Caenorhabditis elegans: one gene and its partners. The main gene of each other region encodes a partner of the protein of the gene in region 4 in a complex. Each region holds a gene or a part of one and is shown on either strand. Other genes may lie near its edges.

What was found.
Region 1: cif-1 (region 4) and eif-3.B share a complex: the UniProt entries of both Caenorhabditis elegans proteins name them as parts of the eukaryotic translation initiation factor 3 (eIF-3) complex.
Region 2: cif-1 (region 4) and eif-3.H share a complex: the UniProt entries of both Caenorhabditis elegans proteins name them as parts of the eukaryotic translation initiation factor 3 (eIF-3) complex.
Region 3: cif-1 (region 4) and csn-5 share a complex: the UniProt entries of both Caenorhabditis elegans proteins name them as parts of the CSN complex.

What each region holds. Positions count from the first base shown.
Region 1 is NC_003280.10:14,793,604-14,798,761, forward strand, and holds eif-3.B (Eukaryotic translation initiation factor 3 subunit B), read left to right. Parts: upstream 1-1,800; 5' UTR 1,801-1,825; coding exon 1,826-1,907; intron 1,908-1,976; coding exon 1,977-2,170; intron 2,171-2,215; coding exon 2,216-2,548; intron 2,549-2,601; coding exon 2,602-3,309; intron 3,310-3,379; coding exon 3,380-4,240; 3' UTR 4,241-4,632; downstream 4,633-5,158. Other genes in the region: tbc-20 (Rab-GAP TBC domain-containing protein), read left to right, coding at 4,883-4,984, 5,034-5,139. UniProt on the Caenorhabditis elegans protein: RNA-binding component of the eukaryotic translation initiation factor 3 (eIF-3) complex, which is involved in protein synthesis of a specialized repertoire of mRNAs and, together with other initiation factors, stimulates binding of mRNA and methionyl-tRNAi to the 40S ribosome.
Region 2 is NC_003279.8:4,442,836-4,447,134, reverse strand, and holds eif-3.H (Eukaryotic translation initiation factor 3 subunit H), read right to left. Parts: upstream 2,417-4,299; 5' UTR 2,406-2,416; coding exon 2,289-2,405; intron 2,244-2,288; coding exon 2,121-2,243; intron 2,075-2,120; coding exon 1,879-2,074; intron 1,832-1,878; coding exon 1,732-1,831; intron 1,683-1,731; coding exon 1,388-1,682; intron 1,146-1,387; coding exon 879-1,145; 3' UTR 522-878; downstream 1-521. Other genes in the region: cps-6 (Endonuclease G, mitochondrial), read left to right, coding at 122-473; C41D11.3 (Cysteine/serine-rich nuclear protein N-terminal domain-containing protein), read left to right, coding at 2,793-2,849, 2,979-3,068, 3,118-3,591, 4,284-4,299. UniProt on the Caenorhabditis elegans protein: Component of the eukaryotic translation initiation factor 3 (eIF-3) complex, which is involved in protein synthesis of a specialized repertoire of mRNAs and, together with other initiation factors, stimulates binding of mRNA and methionyl-tRNAi to the 40S ribosome.
Region 3 is NC_003282.8:5,647,861-5,651,632, reverse strand, and holds csn-5 (COP9 signalosome complex subunit 5), read right to left. Parts: upstream 2,101-3,772; 5' UTR 2,098-2,100; coding exon 2,032-2,097; intron 1,982-2,031; coding exon 1,728-1,981; intron 1,680-1,727; coding exon 1,297-1,679; intron 1,051-1,296; coding exon 647-1,050; 3' UTR 554-646; downstream 1-553. UniProt on the Caenorhabditis elegans protein: Probable protease subunit of the COP9 signalosome complex (CSN), a complex involved in various cellular and developmental processes.
Region 4 is NC_003282.8:4,706,335-4,712,319, forward strand, and holds cif-1 (COP9/Signalosome and eIF3 complex-shared subunit 1), read right to left. Parts: upstream 4,422-5,985; 5' UTR 4,146-4,421; intron 4,060-4,145; coding exon 3,948-4,059; intron 3,449-3,947; coding exon 2,988-3,448; intron 2,254-2,987; coding exon 1,924-2,253; intron 994-1,923; coding exon 808-993; intron 756-807; coding exon 672-755; 3' UTR 520-671; downstream 1-519. Other genes in the region: yars-2 (Tyrosine--tRNA ligase), read right to left, coding at 4,574-4,780, 4,831-5,499, 5,549-5,685, 5,734-5,906, 5,958-5,985. UniProt on the Caenorhabditis elegans protein: Component of the eukaryotic translation initiation factor 3 (eIF-3) complex, which is involved in protein synthesis of a specialized repertoire of mRNAs and, together with other initiation factors, stimulates binding of mRNA and methionyl-tRNAi to the 40S ribosome.

The DNA of each region.
Region 1 (5,158 bases), on a different chromosome or scaffold from region 4:
ATAAAACTAATGTAACTCAAAATATGAAACGGCCCAAGACTATGAAAGATATTTTAAGTTTCCAAGTTCTTTCTTAAATTCCAAAACTTCTTTGATTCAACAACTTTCTACTAAAACGCTCATAGCAAATCATCTGCAAGGACGAATCCATTGAGAATAATGTATACTAATCATCATGTTATAGTAAAAATTGCGTGATTTGTACAGTAAAAGGTCAGCAGCATTGTTGTGAGGACTACCCCCTTGGATTGTTGCTTGCTCTTTGATTGTTGAGCGGGCATCGACTGGAGCTCGGTATCGATTGTGCTAGCCAAATAAAAATCGATTAGAGGTGTGGCATTTGAAGAACATCAAATTTCTATAGATACGAAAGTGTCTATATGTATCAAGTAGCAGACTAAAAAAATTCCAAAAAAAATCGCCTACCCCACCTCTATTTTCGATTTTAAATAACCAGTCATTCGATTGAGCGCGCAATTGAGTGCCGCTAGGTCATCAAACAGGGCCGCTCATCGCAAAAACATAGCTTGACAAAATGCTGCTGTGTTACCGTACTAATCATGGAGAACCAAGAATCATCAATCATGAAAAAGCAAGACGATCCGCAGAAGAATAAAAAAGAACTGCTAAAAATCATTTGTGGTTTTGCCTTTAACTTTTCGTTTTATACAAGCTATCCCTTCCGTCGAAGCTGGCAGATTTTGTACCGGCAATACTCTCACTTTTTCCAATGTAAAGCCCAAACCTTTCTGTTGCACAGTCGACAAAACTCATCTAACTCAGAATATGAAACGACCTAACCCTGTCAGAGATATTTTAAGTTTTCAAGTTCTTTCTTAAAATCCAAAACTTCTTTGATTCAACAACTTTTTACTGAAACACTCATAGTCCATACTCTGCAAGGACGAATCCAAAGAGAATAATGTAAACTAATCATCATGTTACAGTAAAACTAACAAAAACACAACTCCGTATCCAGACATAGTCTTCCGATGCAATACACTCACTTTTTCCAATGTAAAGCCCAAACCTTTCTGTTGCACAGTCGACAAAACTCATCTAACCCAGAATATGAAACGACCTAAGACTATCAGAATTATTTTAAGTTTTCAAGTTCTTTCTTAAAATCCAAAACTTCTTTGATTCAACAACTTTTTACTGAAACACTCATAGCAAATCATCTGCAAGGACGAATCCATTGAGAATAATGTATACTAATCATCATGTTATAGTAAAAATTGCGTGATTTGTACAGTAAACGGTCAGCAGCATTGTTGTGAGGACTACCCCCTTGGATTGTTGCTTGCTCTTTGATTGTTGAGCGGGCATCGACTGGAGCTCGGTATCGATTGTGCTATTTACTTAAACAACTGATCGATAAATATATTTAAAATGTACTCGCTGCCGCGTTCTCCGGAAAAAAGGGCAAATGTCCGCATTTCTTCGTAAAGTCTGGTGTTTGCGTACACCCATTTTTCTTTCATTAAATATTTATAAATGCATTGATTCGCGTTTGAGTTTCAAAATTATCTCTATTTGAAATTCCGCGCAAATCTCATGGACGCGGCCTAGGATTCTCTTCGGTCGAGCGCTTGCAACGACGCTCCGTTCTCCCGCATGGGTGTTGTTTAGAGTTTGTTCATATTCCAAATATCGGTCCTATTTTTCAGATTTTCCAGCGTTTTCCAACATTTTTCCACAATTTTCGGAGAAAATTCTGTAAAAATTCAACTTATCTCGTTTTTCCTTCCATTTTCCTTTAAAATATCTCACAATTTACTCAATAAACCGTGTCTAAAGTTTCAGACTAGTTGGGTTACACAGAATGGTCGAAATTGACTTTAATAAAGAGAACGAAGAAGATTTTTCGGATCCGCCAGGATTTGTTGACGACGTCACCGATGATGGTTGGTTTTTTATTCAATTTTTTGAAATCAATTCCAAAAAATAGCCAACAATCAATGTTTTTATTTCAGTTCTCGTTCCTGACGTTCTCCACAAGAAACCAACTATCGATGAATTTGAAGACAATTGCGTCTTCATCGCGGGAATCCCAGTTGTTGGAGCTGACCGTCTTGGAAAACTCCAAAGTGTACTGAAGAAGGTTCTGGAGAGGTTGGATCCTGCAGTGAAGCTCTACATTCCGCCAAGTCCAGAAGGAGGTTGCTTGGTGAGATTCACGCAAACGATATCGATTTTAATATATTTTTTCCAGGGAGTTCTGCTCACCGAGTGGGCCGATCAACGATCCGCTCAGTTCGCCGTGAAAAGTTTGAATGGATATGCTTTCGATAAGAATCACACATTCACCGCCCGTTCTTTCAAGGATATGAAGCAACTCGAAGCTCCTTCCGATCACTGGACAACTCCAGAGAAGCAGGCTTATAATGACGTTGGAGATCTCTGGTGGTGGCTTCAAAACGAGCGTTGCCGTGATCAGTTCGCAATTTCCCACGATAAACTTGGAGTTCCAACTGTCGGAGTGTTCACCAATATGAAGGGAAATGATCCAGAGCTTGCAGGAGATGCCGATAAGGCTGAAAGAGCTGTAAGTTTTGAGAATTATTTGTTTTTAAAAAATGAAATAATTTTTTTTTCCAGAACTGGACCGAAACCGTCTTCACTTGGTCACCACACGGCTCCTACCTTTCCACGATCCATAAGCAAGGAATCATACTTTGGGGAGGCAAAGACTACGCTCGTGCCCACCGTTTCGCTCATACCAACGTTCAATACATTGATTTCTCGCCGTGTGAGACCTACCTTGTTACCTACGCCGCTCCGGAAGAGTCGAACAGCTGGGGAGACTGTGAGAAGGATAGTTTGAGAATTTGGGACGTCCGAACCGGAGAATTGAAGAAGGCCTTTTCCACTTTCGAGCTCACCGGAAGAACTCAGCTCCCAACCTGGCCATTCTTCAGATGGTCATTCGATGAGAAGTACTTCGCGTGCCTCAAGGCTCCAGAAAAGGATAAGCTTGAGCGTGAGCAGAAGATCAACGGAATTTCGATCTTCGAATCCGAGAAGTTCGAGCTCTATGAAGGCCGTCCCGTGAATATCGAGAATATCAAGCAATTCGAGTGGTCGCCAACATCCACAGTCCTCGCCTACTATTCAGAGTGCACTGACGCCGTTCCAGCCGAGTTTGGACTCTTGCAAGTTCCATCAATGCAGAGACTTCGTTCGGCTCGCGTTCACAATGTCGCCGACGCTCAGATGTTCTGGCAGAAGAGCGGAAAGCGATTGGCCTTCTACACGATGAGATTCAAGAAGAAGGAGTACAGAGAGACCGGAGAAGTCAAATATGTGGTAAGTTTTGAGTTTTTTAAAGGATTTTTTGAGGCCTATGACAATAATAATAATAATGATATAATTTCAGGGAGGATGCCAATACCACGTGGACATCTTCGAGATTGACAAGAAGGACGTTTCCCTTATGAATCTCCCACTTTCGGAGCCATTCATCCATTTCGATTGGGATCCAGAAGGCGATAAGTTCTGTGTGCTCGTGGGAAACACCGCTAAGGCCACTCCACAAGTCTACAAGATCGAGGCTAACAGCCACGCACCGAAGCTTGTGAGCAAGTTGGACGCTGGAGTTCACTTCAATGAGGTTCAATTCGCGCCGAAAGGAGGATGGCTTGCAGTTCTCGCCAAGGTGTCAGCTGGAGGAAACGTCTATTTCATTGATACTTCTTTGTCGGAGGCCAAGAGAACTAATGTTATAGAACATCCACTCTTCAATAAGGGATATTGGGATCCAACTGGAAGATACTTTGTGACATGCTCAACGTTGGGAGGAAGAGCCGGAGCCGATTTGGGTTACCGAATCTTCACATTCCAGGGAAGAGAACTGTGCAGAAAGAATCTCGACCGGCTCGCCCAATTCAAGTGGAGACCACGGCCGCCGGTGAAGTTGAGCGAACAGAAGCAGCGTGAGATCAAGAAGAACTTGAAGAAGACCGCCGCCAAGTTCATCAAGCAGGATGACGACGAAAAGTGCAGAGCCAGTCAGGAGGTTGTTGAGAAGCGACGCAAGATCATGGCTGCCTTCGATATTATTCGAAGCCGGAATCGCGAGCAACTCGACGCCACCCGTGACGAGAGAATCTCTCTTCGAAACGGCGTGGACACAGAAGCCCAACTCGACGAGGACGAATTTGTGGATGAGGAGATTACCATTGCGCTGAGCACAAGCAAAACACAAGCCCCTCTGACGGAGGAGGAGATGAGAGACTAATTAGTTATTTGATTTCCCGGTTTTTCCCCTTTTTTATGCGCTGCTTTTTCTTCCTGATTTCTCGAAGACTTGGAGCGGCGTCCCCTCTTTTTGGTGGTTCCACCATGTACTCGTTTTCGTTTTCCTCTTCATTTTCCCAGTCATGTCGTCATTTTCTGAACAACGCCTTTTTCTATGGCAAATTTAACTTTATGATGCCTGAATGGAGAAGGTTTTTTCAAGCTTCTTTTGGGCGGCCCTAATATTATTTAATTGTTTCTCTCTATCCACTTTAATATCTCTTGTTGCTCCCGTCTCTCCGTGTTTTCTGGTGGTTTTTGCCGATAAAATGTTGATGAATTAGTTGATGTTTCAGATTTTTTCCAAATAAACAGAAGTGAAAATTCATAAATTATATTTTTCAGCGCTATAAAATTGTGATTCTGAAAAAAAAATTCCACGTTTATTAAAAATTCCACAAATGGTGCAATGTGACGTGACGGTGTATGCACACTTTGCATTAAATTTGACGACAAATGTCTCATCGGGTTTTCTGTCAATTTTTAATCCACTTTCTCTATTTTACTCTGTTCTTTTTATACTTTTTTAAAATAAAATTTCTATAAAAAACTTTAAACTTCAATTTTAGCAATTAACCCGTTCATGCACTCATCGTTTTCGGAGCCAAATTCGCCGTTGAAAGAGGTGCTCGTAGATAAGTGGCAGACAGCCTCATGCAGCGATTTGGGCGAAGAATATGTAAAAGTAGGGGTTTTTAATGAGAAAATTTAACGAAAAAAAATCAATTTTTCAGCCGGGACCCCTGGCGAGAGCAAAATTCAACGCGTTGCGAAATAAACGCGAAGCAATTGATCGATTTTTGAAAAAGCACCGAAAAGAGGATCTCAGCTTATATATTGGTAATTTTTATTATAGAAT
Region 2 (4,299 bases), on a different chromosome or scaffold from region 4:
TTTGAAACTTTTGGAAAATTTTTTTGAGAAAAAAAAACGAAAAATCTACAGCCCAGTCTGAAACCAGCTGGTACCAAGATTTTTCTTTACAATACTAAAAATAATTTTCTACAATTTCCAGAAGAGTCGCAAAAAAGATGATCAACTCCTACATAATCACCGGTCCCCTCTACCTTCCAAAACTTGAAGGAGATGGAAAAAAGTATATCAAGTATCAAGTTATCGGTGATAATAACGTTGCAGTGCCAACTCATTTCTTCAAAGTTGCTCTTTTCGAAGTGACACCCGGCAAATTCGAGCTGGAATCCTATATTTTGCCAAACGCAGTCATCGAGGATACTGTAGAAATTTCCAAGTTCCATGTTCCATTGGATGCTGTGGAGAGAAGTGCGGGTCTTGAGATTTTCGCTCGTTTGGACCCTAAGAGCATTGTGAAAGAGAACGGAGCAAAGAAGGGAGGATTACTTTGGTGATTGATTGGATTGTGATTCCGGTGAATTTTAGGTTTAGGTTGTTTTGTTTTTGTTTCACAAATAAATTTTTTGTTAACTTTTTTGATTTACTGATTGAAAAAACTTGAAAACTCAATTAAAAAGAACAATACCAATAGAAATTTTAAAATCTTAACTTACTATTAGTCAACAACAAAAATTCATCCGAAATAGGGGAAGGTGGAAAAGGATACCAGAAAGGAATTTCATACGGCAAAAAAATTTGGATGAAAAACAATATCCCTATATTGAAAGTGAGACATTATTTTATGTCACTAGTTTTATGTAATATGAAATTCCTTTCACCGAGAGAAAAATATTTTAGAAAAGAAAAAGTAAATTAAAGGGAACAGGGAGGAAACAAAAACACGAGTATATTTGGGAATCTTAACGAGTCGATGAGACAGAGCTCAAAGTTCTGTCTTTTGTTCCGGCGACTTTCTCCTCAGCAACAGCTTCAGCGATGAACATTTTCGTGATATTTTCGCTGGTCACAGTCTTCGAGAAGTCAGCGAGAGCGTTGGTGTCAAAACTGGCGAGAAGCTCATCCAAAAGTCCATTTCTTGTTTGGAGTTGTGGAGCCTTGATTCTCTTGATGTCATCCATTGGAATTGTTGGATCACCACGGGCCACACGTGATTCGTTCTCCTGTTGCTGAAATTGGAAAAATATAAATTTTTAATGATAGAGATTTTTTTTTCGAAAATCGTGAATGGCACCTTTATTCCACCGAAAATGTACCCCTCACATCCGGTTTTATAGTTAGTGGAGCCTCGATATGTTGGAAAATGGTTTTCAAAAAACAAGACTTTAGGTTTGAAAGCCGTTACACTTCGGAATATAAATTTTAGCGATACAATCAGGATATTTTTAATTTCAAAATTCGAAATTCTTACTCTTTTCTGCGTCAGACTGAACACCATATTATCATGTCTTTGCTTGTCAATAGTGTACTTCGTCAACGACTGAATTGACTTGTTCAGCTCATCAACATTAGCCATCATAGCTCGGACCGACTTTTCAAGCGACTTCTTGGATCCCAAATCGAAGTGTCTCGTGGAGTACTTGTCAGAAGAGCATGATTTAGCGAGTGAAAGCTCAGACATGAGAACATTGTTGAGATATGAGGATTTGATGATGATTGGCAACTCCTCGAACATGTTCTGGTATGTCAAACCAGCGGCTTTCACCCTGAAAAGATATGTCTTTGCAAATATATTTTTAAACTCAAAAACCATACAATTCTGGTCTCCAGTCATTCTTTGAAGCGAGATCAAGAGCAGCGGTGGAAAGACGCCAGGCTCTTAGAGAAAGCTGTCCTTGGCGAGTCTTGATTGGATCTGAAAGCAATTAGAATTAATTATTTATCCTCATTAATCTGTCTAACCATAAATAAGAACAACATTTTCTGGGCCCATAGCCTGGTAATCGAACATAGATTCTACGAGATCGTGTGAGAAACCGGCTCCGAATTGATGAGACTGATAGAATCCAACGATTTCGTAATCGATATTCATTGTACGGAATTTGCGGAGCATGTCAAGCATCTCGTGTTGCTTTTGCTCTTCGTATTGTTGAGCGGCCTATAATAGAAAATATATTGGAATCACTAGCATGAGCTAATTTTACATTAGCATCGTCATCCATAACTGGCTCGTTGCGAACTGTTGGGAAGCAATTGGTGATTTCCAAGCGAGAATCTTCAAGGAAAACAAGACCGGTGAGAACTCCGGCACAAGCGTCTCCAGATACCTGTAAATTACATGTTAAGCTTGAAATTAAATTAAAATAATATACCTCACTAATTCCTGCATGAAGTTCACTGTCCACGTGCTTCACAATTTTCATAACCACAAGCGAATCCAAAAGGATATGCTTGACGCTCGGAGCGGTAATTGTCACTGCTGTCGACATTTTTGATAACCCTGAAAGATGAGCATTTAGTTTTTCAAATTTTCTAAAGAACAATAAACAATAACATGCATCTCACAAGAGGAAAAATCAATAATCTAAGCATCACGAATTTTTCGAAAGAAAATTAAAAATATAAATTTCAGAAAATTGGCGAGAAAAACCTCAAAATAATCAATAAAATCTTGAAAATAGGAAACACTCCACGAAATTAATTCCTTCCGTTGTTGTGTGCAACTGCGCGTCAATTGTAGTGCATGCACACAATTGCACACCGTACCCGCGCGTGATCTTTTGATTTGAATTCAAATTTTTGTCGTTCTTTTGTTTTTGGGATTTACTTTTTAAAATGCTTTTTGAAACTTTTTAAGAGAAATTGTATATTTTCAGATGCAATCGAGTGCATCCAACGACCCTAATAAACCTACAAATAATGAAATAATAAAGGTAAGCGCATTTATGAAAAAAAAATCAATAAAACACAATTCTTAAATAAACTAGCTTTATTGGAATCCATTTGAAGATTTAATATTATAACCAAATGCATATTAAAAAATAATTGTAAATTTGTTTCAGACACCATTGGTTCCACCAAGTCCACGTGGAGGATTAAAACGAATGGCGGGAATGAGCCAATTGAAATCGACTTTTTCAATTTCTTTGGAGGTAAAACCCTCAAGTTTCCAGCATTTTTGTTTAATAATATTCATAATAGTCTCAGAGAACAATCCCACCACCATCATCGTCCTCATCCTTCCTATCCCATTCAACATCGATGGTTTCTGTAGCAGCGAGTCTCAAAAGAGCCGGTGTACCTAGTCTAACTCGAACAAAGACTAGTGCATTACCCATAAAAATGGAGAAAAAGCCAATGGTTCCATTGCGGATAGAACAGGACCACCAGACACCGATCCGAAAACTGGCTCCGGAGAGTATTCCAAGCCTGGAAGATCAAGTAACACCGCCAATGCGTCGATCTAGTAGTGGATCAATGCTGTTGAGACAGACGCCTGAAAGGATTCGAAGGCAAGAAGAAGATGTGGAAACACCTGGTTCTCCAGTTAAAAGATACCGAAGATCCGGGTCAATGCCACGATTAGAGGCCCAGTCCCTTGATGTTCCAATACGAATGGAAATTGGAAATAGCTTAACTCCTGTGTTAAAGAGGAAGAGAACATCTTCATTAACGGTAATATATTCAACTGAATCATATCAGAGCTGGGCGGCAAATTTTTTTTCGAAAAATTCGGCGAATTTCCGAAAATTTGATTTTTCGGCAAATGCCGATTCGCCGGAAATTTCAATTCCGGCAATCTGAAATGTTTTCCCGTTTTTCTAGATATTTTCATAGAATTTCCTTACTTTTCAAAATAGAAGTAGGAACATATTTTTTTATATTACGGGAACACAAAATACTGAGAACGCGTATTACACAACATATTTGACCCGCAAAATATCTCGTAGCGAAAACTACAGTAATTCATCAAATTACTCCTGTAGCGCTTGTGTCGATTTACGGGCTTGATTTTGGAAATATCTATCGATGAATAAATAATTTTAATTCATTTCGAGAATCGAGCCCTTAAATCGACCTACAGTAGTCATTTAGATAATTACTGTAGTTTTCGCTACGAGATATTTTGCGCGTCAAATATGTTGTGAAATACGCATCATCAGAATTTTGTGTTCCCGTAATAGGAGGCGTACAATTTCGCGTCTTTAACTTGAAATTCTGAAGTTTCCAATAAAAAGTGCAACAGCACAGTTTGCCGAAATGCCGGAAATTTCAATTCCGGCGATTTGCCGATTTGCCGGAAAAAATCGTTTGCCGCCCAATCATATAAAACTAGTTTCTGAAAATAACAAAAAATATTATTTCAGTGTCTCTTTTCATCCG
Region 3 (3,772 bases), 940 kb from region 4:
TCCTCCCTTCGGATTCTTTGATTTCCCAGTGAAATACCTCACCCACTTCAATCCCCACAAAGTGAGCAACCCCTATCTTGCAACAGTTTTATCATCTCTTCATCATACCCAGTTTGATAATTTATTATCTGATCCCCATCCCCTTGTCGCCTCTCATTAGTATCCTAGTTTTTCATTTGAGCCCGGAGCTCAGACTACATCTCCGAATCATCATACAAATAGATAGAAACGGGTCTCGTGACGAAAGAATACGTGCACCACACGACCCCCCCATCCTGTTCACCCCCATACACCTGAAAAATATGATCTTTACAGTTATTTCTATTATATCCTCAAATCTCTCGTAATATCGTATCAATTTCCTCTTCTTTTTTGTCATTTTCAATTTTTCTCAAATTTCTCAGATCTATTCTTTTTCTTGTATTTTTGGAACTTGTATCCCTCCTCCATCCCCAGACTTCCCCTTCCCAGTTACTCTTGTACATTTTCATATATGTCCATATATCGTTTGAATCTCTCATTTATGGAAATAAATTTGAAAAAATCAATCATTGAAAAGCAAAAATTTCATTCAAATAAAATGATGTTGGTGAATTTAACACAGAAAACAGGGGGACTTGATTTATAAATATAGACAAAACGAGAATTAAGCATCGGCCATCTCAACAGCGGGCTCCGGAGCAGATGGAGAAGGACCAGCCTTCTCGGGTTCAGTTGCCACGGCGATATCCATTGGAGATCCTGCAGAAGCATGGGAACATCCACAGCCACCACCAGCTTGGCGAGCAAACAATAGTTGTTTCACGAGATGAGAGATTCTTCCAGTTTCAAGTTCATCTCCGACTGCCTTTGCATCGGTCACGACTTTCATCAAAGCTTCATGTCCATCGACACTTCTGTCATTCAATTGGAGCTTCTTATCGACGGCCGACAGCTTCTGATTGATGTCTTGAATTTGATTGTTGAGGAATTCGACGTTTGAGAAGAGTGGAGAACTGCTGAGAGTGGAAATCCAATAGCTGTTCCACAGAGAAGTCAAGATGTGAGCGTCTGGAATTTTAATTATTAAAACGGGAAAGAATCGGAGATGTTTCTTTTTCAATTGAGACCAATTTCCCGTTGAGATGTTTAATATTATTATTCTTATTTTAAAAGTTTAAAATTTCAAGCTATTCGATTCCAATAAGTTTAAACAATCCAAAAAACAAAGCTTTGAATATTGGATTTTACAGTTGATTGTCCTTTATCGTATTTTTATTATGTAATTCATTCCCGATAAATATAAATTTCACCTACCAAGTTGTGATTTGAAGAAGCTGACGTCAAGCGAGTAGTATCGTTTGCAATGTACACCGAAATCCTCAATCTTTGCGAGAGGAATCGACTGATACTCTGATGGAACATCATCTGGTGGACGGTATCCTTCTGGATATGTACGGAATGCGCCAATGTCAACCTTTCCGGCAGACATAGTTCTCAATGGATCAATAACAATAGCAACCCATGGCTCTTGGAACTTTTGATTGAGTGTCTGCGTTGAGACGTCGATTCCGGATAGCCAGCATCCATATCCAGGATGAGAATGATACCATCCGACGACTTTCTCCTTTCGACCTTCCGTATCGCACATTTCAGAATAAACTGTCATGTACTCGTAGGCTTGAGCTTGGGCATTGACTCTGGAAATTTAAAATGTTCGAAATTACTCCCAGCGTAAATCATTTCACCTGGTCTCAGTACCCTCAACTGGAAGAGCGAATACATCAAGAATAATGAAAGAATTAGCATCGATTCGACCTTGCAAAAGTCCCATAATTTCCAGATTTCCACCTCTTTTCGCGTGCATTGTCATTTTCAGAAGAGCAATTGCAGATATTTTGATTTGTTTGAAATAATGTGGATCTTTATCCCATGGTTTTGCATTTCTGATTTCTACTTGCTGCTTGTTGTTGTACTCGAAAATCGAATCGACATTTTGGACCTGAAACACAAATAATATTAAAAATCTAAAAATATTTAAGAAAAACTGACGTTATTTTCTTTTTCCCAGTTTCTCTGCGGAACTGAGCTGGATGGCTTGACGTTATCAACTTCCATCGTCTGAAAAAAGCATTACCTTGCTAATATTATTAAGAAATACAATCAATAAGACGATAAGGGCATGAAAAATGATAATGAGATGATTTTACATGAAGAATTGAAACAAATTAAGTAATTCTCAGATTATAATTTTTTTAAATCGATTGAAACCAACAAAAACTAAAAAAAATCTGAAATTTGAAATGAGAAAATATCTGTTGTTATTCTAACAACGACACTCCAACTTTCCGTTGGTGCGCGTTGTTTACCGTAAACCGACACCAAGCGGATGTACTACAATTGGAAGACTTGATTTCATAGAAGAACAAATAAATAGGAGAAATGTATTAAAAATGATTATGGCGGAATAAGATATTTAAGTTTTAAATGTCCTAAAGACTGGTTATCCAGCTTGTTGCATTGTGGATCCCTTTTAGAGAAGTTGGCATTCCAGTTCAAAGGTTTTTGCTCAATTCCAGAAACATATCATCAATCTGGTGTAGTCTAGAATGTATACTACAAAATACTGAACCTCATCAATGACCCTTAAATCTTCCAGAAGAATATTCATGAATACTTGCTACTGCAAGCAAAAAGTTTTATAAAAGCCACAAGCTGAGCAAGAAAACATTTCGCAGAAAAAATGTTATCCGCAATTTTCCTGATTATCAACTCGTTGGTGACTGTTTCAGGATATTGTGTTAATTTATTCCTCCTCCACGTGGCAATATTTCATAGTCCGTCTATTATAAGAACATTCTCAATTGTCATTATTAACATGGCATTCACTAATTTTGGAGCATGTCTTAGTGGATTTCTGATTGGACAACGAGTTATTCCAGCTGGGAAACAATTATTTTATATTTCCTATGGAATTTGCTCAAATTTAGGAGAACAGTTTTGTTTTGATATGTGAGTTTGACGTGGAAAAAAAAATGAATGTCAATGGAAAAATGTTCCCGTTTCAAGAAGTTTTTGAAACAGAAGAAATTTGAAAAACAATTATATGTAGGTAGATCAAATTGTTACTGCCCTATTTTTATATTTATCTTAACATTATTTAAACGAGGTTTGGACGGGTTTAGTAAGATGAAAAATTTTTTAAATGGGAGAGGGCTAAATTTAAAAAAAATTAAGTCTTGAACTATAGAAAAACAATAAAAATGGATCATTGTCAAAAGGAATTTTTAAAAATCCTTTAAATCGATGAAAAAAATTAAAATCTAAACATACACTTAAGAAATGTATAGAGTGTTTAAAAATTTCAGTCAGAGTTTCGGCAAATTGCCAAATTTTTTTTGCGAAACTTTTCCCTTTTTGAGAAATTTCATGGATCTCTGCAGGTTTGAAATTTTAGAATTTATAAAATTAATTAATAATTTCGAAAACTCAAAGAAAAATTTATTTTTGGTAAACATCCAAAATTACGATTGCTGAAGCCTAGGACATCAATTAAAAATTAGTTCCAAAAAGTTTTTGAAAAATTTAACTAAAAGCAGTTTGAAATATTTTTCCATTATAGTATATATTTTTCCACATATTTTAGCAAATTAAATCCATCGAAATTAATAAAAAAAAGGTTTCCCCAACAAAGATAGTTTAAAAAAACAGTCTCCACCCACTTATAGGCTCTCTTATGCGCCTGAATCAAACTTTTTTCTTGCATAGGTTTCAATGACAGAATACTCCAATT
Region 4 (5,985 bases):
TTTTCGCATATTTTGGTACAATTACAGTCTATAGGCGCACGAATTTCCAATTTTTGTGCACCTATCGACTGAAAATGTACCAAAATCTGGAAAAAAAATGCGGCAGTAACTTCTAAAATGTGCAAAATAGAGAAGGCATGGTTTTTTTTTAAATATGACTCGAATTTTTTAAATTTAATTTCAAAAAGAATTTGAGAAAAAGGAAAATTAACTAAAATTCCCGTTTTCATTAGCAGAATTTTTGGACTTTTCTTCAAAAAAAGGCTAGTTTCTCCGAACTCTGAAAATTAAGAACAAAGATTGGCTTCGTCCGTCAAGTGACAAACATCTGATTATCATCGAAGCGGAAGAGACTAATCTCTTGTCCCTCCGGCTCCACGAGCATCAGTGTAAAGTGAGACGCCCGTGTGCTTATCGCATAACAAAAAAACAAGATAAAGCGACGGATAAATAGAAATAATCGGGTTTCGAAGTGAACAAAATCCATATTAAGTCAGAAGAGTGGGGAACATTTTCTTTTTTTAAATCAACAGTTTATGGGGAAATTTTTCAAGAGAGAGATAGAAATTATAGAGGAGGGAACCAACAAAACGGGGGACTTTCATGGGAAGAAAATACGATAGGGAGAACCAAAAACAAATATATTAAAAAGAACAGCGAAAAAAAAACAATTAGAGAGCCTCGATTCTCTGATTCACTTCATGGACGTTGTTGTGCGTTTGCTTCAGATTTGCGATGAGGACTTTCAGGCGTTTCTGGAAAAAAATCAATTTTTAAATGGAAACCCAACGAGTAAATATTATATACCTCGAGTAGAACCCATTGTTCCGTTCCGAATCTTCTGTGCTGGTAGGAGCTGACGATGAGAGTTCGGGCCATTTCATTGATTTTTCCGGAAATCGCGTTCACCTGAATCGCGTCGATCACAAATTCTTCGAGGGTCTCATCGGCAAGAATGTCCAATTGTTTGGCCAATTCGTCGAGACTGATTTCCTGAAAAATTCAGCAATTTTTATTTAATTCGGACGTTTCAAATGTTATATAGCCAACCGACGTTTCCATATGGGTCTCGCCACGCAAACAACGAGTTACTGTATCGTAACTTCACATTTTTGCAATATGGGTCTCGGCGCGCTAAAAATCCAATTTTTCAACGAAAATTCAACATTTTCGCATTCAAAGGTGTTCAAATAATTTTGAGCTTTCTCTAACTGAAAAATTGTTAAAATTCGAGATTTCGCTCTTTACAGAAATGGAATATTCAACATTTTCCACAAAATTATAGGTTTTTCGGGAGATTTCCTAGAGACGAGTTATTGTAATTTTAAGAGATTATGACAGGTTTTTAACCTAAAAATCCTCATTTTTGGCCGGGTTTTCATTCGGAAAAAGTCGTTTTTTAGTCTTAGAATCTGCAAATTTGCAGTAAAAAAGTGTGAAATTTTGGTTTTTTGTATTTTTACACTAAAATTTTTACGAAAATTGCATGTTTTTAACCTGGAAATCCACATTAATGGATGTTTCTCATCCGAAAAGTTTGCAATTTATAATTTTTAGCTTTACATTTCAGGTTTTCAGCTTAGAAGTGCTCTTGAATTTTGATTGGAAGGTAAATGAAAAATTTCTGCGAAAATAAAAAAAAAACATATAAGCAGTTCGTAATTCGAGCTACAGTAACTCGTTGTGAGCGTGGCGAGACCCATTTTCTCCTCTTTAATCGTCTATGTAATATCATTCGCCAAAGCCGTTATTTAGTCTTAAAATCTGTAATTTTGCAGTCGAAAAACGATAAAAATGTGTTATTTTGACACTAAAACTTTTCCCTTGAATCATAAATTTCAATAAAATTGCTGCCAAGATTTTCGAAACGAGTTACAGTAACTCGTTGTGAGCGTGGCGAGACCCAGTAATATCCAAACGTACGTTCTTCTCTTCAGCAAGCGACATGAGTGTCAAAAGACGGATCTTCTTGAGAAGAATAGTCTCGTCAACCTTCAAGTGCTCGGTGACAAATTTCGGATTCTTGGCAACAAATTCCTTATAATCCTTGAGAGTTCCAGAGATGAACAACTCGAGAGCTGTGAACATCAGTGGATCGGAAGTCTTCAACGCTTTGACTGCACTGAGTCGTTCGAGATGATCAAAGGAGAATGATTTCGGATCGACGACAGCAGTTCTAACACATTCCATAGCATCATCTCGTGCTGCGGCAGCGTCCTTTTCTGTGTATGTTCCGAGAAGTGCAGTCATAACCTGGAAACACTTTTTTAAAGGTTATGAGGACTTATGATTTTGGCGTTTTAGCTTGTATTGACTCAAAAAAAAATTTCGTGATTTGAAAAATTTCTCAAATTTCTACGGCGATTTAAATCTCTCTCGAAAAATTTCGCTAATTTCAGCTAAAATCTCTGATTTGCCAACTTCTCGTGTCCCAACGGTCAGAAATAAACTTATTTCGGTGGTTTTCGGTAATTTTTTGTTAAATTATGGAAACTTCAAATTATGAAGAAAAGGTTCAATTTTGGTCCAATCTTTGTTGTTTTAGACAAAAGTCGGTCCACTTTTTGGCCAACTTTACAGGCCATTTTCAGTAGAAATTTTGTCATTTTTGGTTTACTTTTCGCGCTTTTCGTTCAATTTAGTCATTTTAGCTCAATTTTTAGTGGAATTTGGCCATTTTGGTTCAATTTTGATCGAATTTTGTTCATTCTTTGGCGAAATTTTGGCATTTTTGTCCACTTTTGGGGTTTTTGGCCAAATTTTGAACATTTTGGTGACATCACCCTCAAATGTACCGCAAACAACAAAACAGTGTGAGATAAGAGACCAAGATTCAATAAAAACTGTGTTCAAGCCGCGAGACGGGACAGTTTGCAAAATTGAAGACTTTAGCAGAAATTAAGCAATATTTAACCGCCATAATTTTTTTAAAGGCAGTTTTTGTGTCTAGCTAAGTATAAAAACCGATAGTTCTTTATCAAACCCACCTTGGCAGCCTGATCAACTCTCTGATCAACAAGAAGTGCACGATGAACTGCTCTCAAGATCTCGCGTTGTCCCTCGACTGGCGTCTTCCATGTGTTGAATCTATCTTGAAGAGTCTCAAGATTGCATTCCAGCTCTCCAATGAGTCTTGCTTCAGCGCACATATCAACGAGCGCCTTGAAGATCTTCTCCTGTACAGTATGGAAGTTCGAGTATCCCTTGTACAAATTCGAGAGCACACGAACGGCGATTCCGGCGTGACTAGCCCATCCGGTTCCCTTGTAGAATTGTGGAGCAACATTCTTGATGAATGAGTCGACGACTGGCTCACACTTCTCGCCTGGCACAACGACGATAAGAGATGATATCGAGTTGAGCACCAGATCGACGTCCTGGGACCATGAAGGAAGCACGTTGAGAGTGGAGCAGATTTCGATCATGTTTTGGGCGGTCTCTGATGGTCCTGAAATTTTTTAAATCCAAATTCTGAAGCAGGGCTGTACCGCAAATCTTTTCTGAAAGTTTACGTATTTCCATGGGAGAAATTCTACAAAATGATCTATTGCATCATGTTGTTCTAACATTTTTCATTAAAAATAATGTGAAAACATAGAAAATCACTTTGTTTATCTGAAAATATCGTTGATTTTAGTTGAGAAATGGCAATTTGTAAGCAATTTTCAAATGCTTAAACTAAAATAAATACTATTTAAGGCCAAATCAATTGATTTTATATATTTTTAGAACAATTTAAATTTTAAAAAAAGTGGGAACAACATGGTGCGATAGGAAAATTTTGTAGAATTGCCGTTTCCACATGATATATTCAATTTTTTGAGAAAGAAATTGATACAGAAATGTTGAAAAAGAGTCGATCGACCTGAAAATGATAAAGATCCAAAAAGATTGGATTAATCCATAATTATTATATCGAAAAAATCAGCTTTACAAGTTTTCCGCACCATTTGGATCAAGCTTCACACTATCGTGCTTGTTGAGGTATTGACGGAGCTCTTGGAGCTGCTTGACATCATCAATGTAGGCGAAAACTGGAAGCTCACGAGTGTCAGCCATCTGAAATATTGTACATGCAGTTTAGAAAATATGGAACTGTGAACGAGCAAAAAGGAGAAATGCACATCAAACTTCAACTCATTCACCTTTATTTCGCGGCGCTATCAACCGTTGCGATCTTCTCAATGTGTCCTTTCCGAATCGCTTCCAGCTGTCTCTGGCTTCTTCTCAAATGATGCTCAATGAGCAACAGGTCACTTGGCTCGAAACGTGTTGCAGCGGCGCGGAACTCGTGCCGAATATGCGTGCGAATGCTCGGGTCACGGCCACGGGAGGCGCGCAAAAAATCACGGTAGGTGGAGAGAACGAGCTTTTGAAGTTTGCTGTGCACTACTCCTCCGCTCATGCGAATAGAGACGAGCCGAAAATTATTCAGGAATAAAATACAAAAAATATGCTTGGAAACGAGAAAAAGAGATATAATAAAGCGTAGAGAACGCCGAGAATATGACACCACAAATACAACAAAAAAATGAATATTTATTTTCATTATAACAACTAAAACTGAACCTATTCAAACCCATCGAACCAGCTGGTAACCTCGTTTTCCCCAACAAACAAGGGTGAGATCGGAGGCATTTTCCAGGAAAACGTCTGCTATTGATTCCGATGGAGATCTTTTCTTCTCTCCATTCACTGAAAATGCTCCTTGTTGCATCAAAAGATGACCTTTCCCACTGCCTAGTCGAGATGCGTCCGCGAGTTGGCCCATTGTTGCTACCTGGGAAGAAAAAGAATAAAATCTTCGACAACTAATTTTTTGATGCTTACATTCTCCTTTTTCAAGTCAATTGTTGTTCTGAATAATTGCAATACTTCACTTCTCGACAATCCCGATAAATCAGCCTTCTTGGCTCCAAACATTGCTTTTGTACACCGCATCGCCACTTCTAAACCTTCTTTTCCGTGCACAATTCGAGTAATTTCGGCGGCCAACTCCCTCTGAGCAATCCATTGTCCAAGATTGCTCCTATGATTCTTCAGAACATCTCTTATATGTTCGATATCTTGCAAACTGAAAAGTAACAGAAGCTCTTCCGCTTTGTCATCGTGAAGCTGCGCGAAGAACTGATAGAAATGGAACGGAGACGTCTTCGTCGCATCAAGCCACAGCGCACCTCCTCCTTCAGACTTTCCGAGCTTGGCACCAGTAGAATCCGTCAGAATCGGGAAGCATACTCCTGCAGCGAAGGCTTGATTCATCATTTTCTTAATATAGTGAGCTCCAAAGTCCAGGTGACCCAATTGATCATATCCACCAAGCTGGAATCGACATCCATACTTTTCGGATAACGTGTACCAGTCGAATGCTTGCATTGTTTGATAGCTGAATTCAGTGTACGATAATCCAACTTCCAGCCGATTCTTTATCGTATTCATTCGAAGCATCTTTCCGACTTGCATATTCTTGCATTCTCTCAGGAAATCTCGTAGACTAATCTGAAAAATATAACATTTTCTTTCTCATCATAGCAAGCCGAATGACTACCTTTCCTAGCCAATCATTATTGTTCACGATGATCGGCTTCTCGCTTGATCCCGGCGCGTTCTCAAAAATCTTGCAGATCTGATCTGTTACTTTCCTCGAGTTGTGCATAATTACATCGCCGGCCAGAAGACCCCGTTCTGAAGGTCATGATTTATTGAGTTTTCAGCGCTTTTCTAGGTAAAAACCTGATTTCTTTCCGCTCGGATCTCCAATACTGGCAGTGAATTCTCCGATCAATGCAATTGGACGTATTCCAAACTGCTGTGCACGAATTAAATTGACGAGAATCAGAAGATTTCCAATGTGAAGGCTCTCAGCAGTTGGATCGAAACCAGCATACACATAAGGTGGAAGCTGCCTGAAATTAAATGGATTATTTGCGGAATTTCGTAACATTCACAAGTTCAACCTCAAATCTTCGCTACATTTAGACAGCA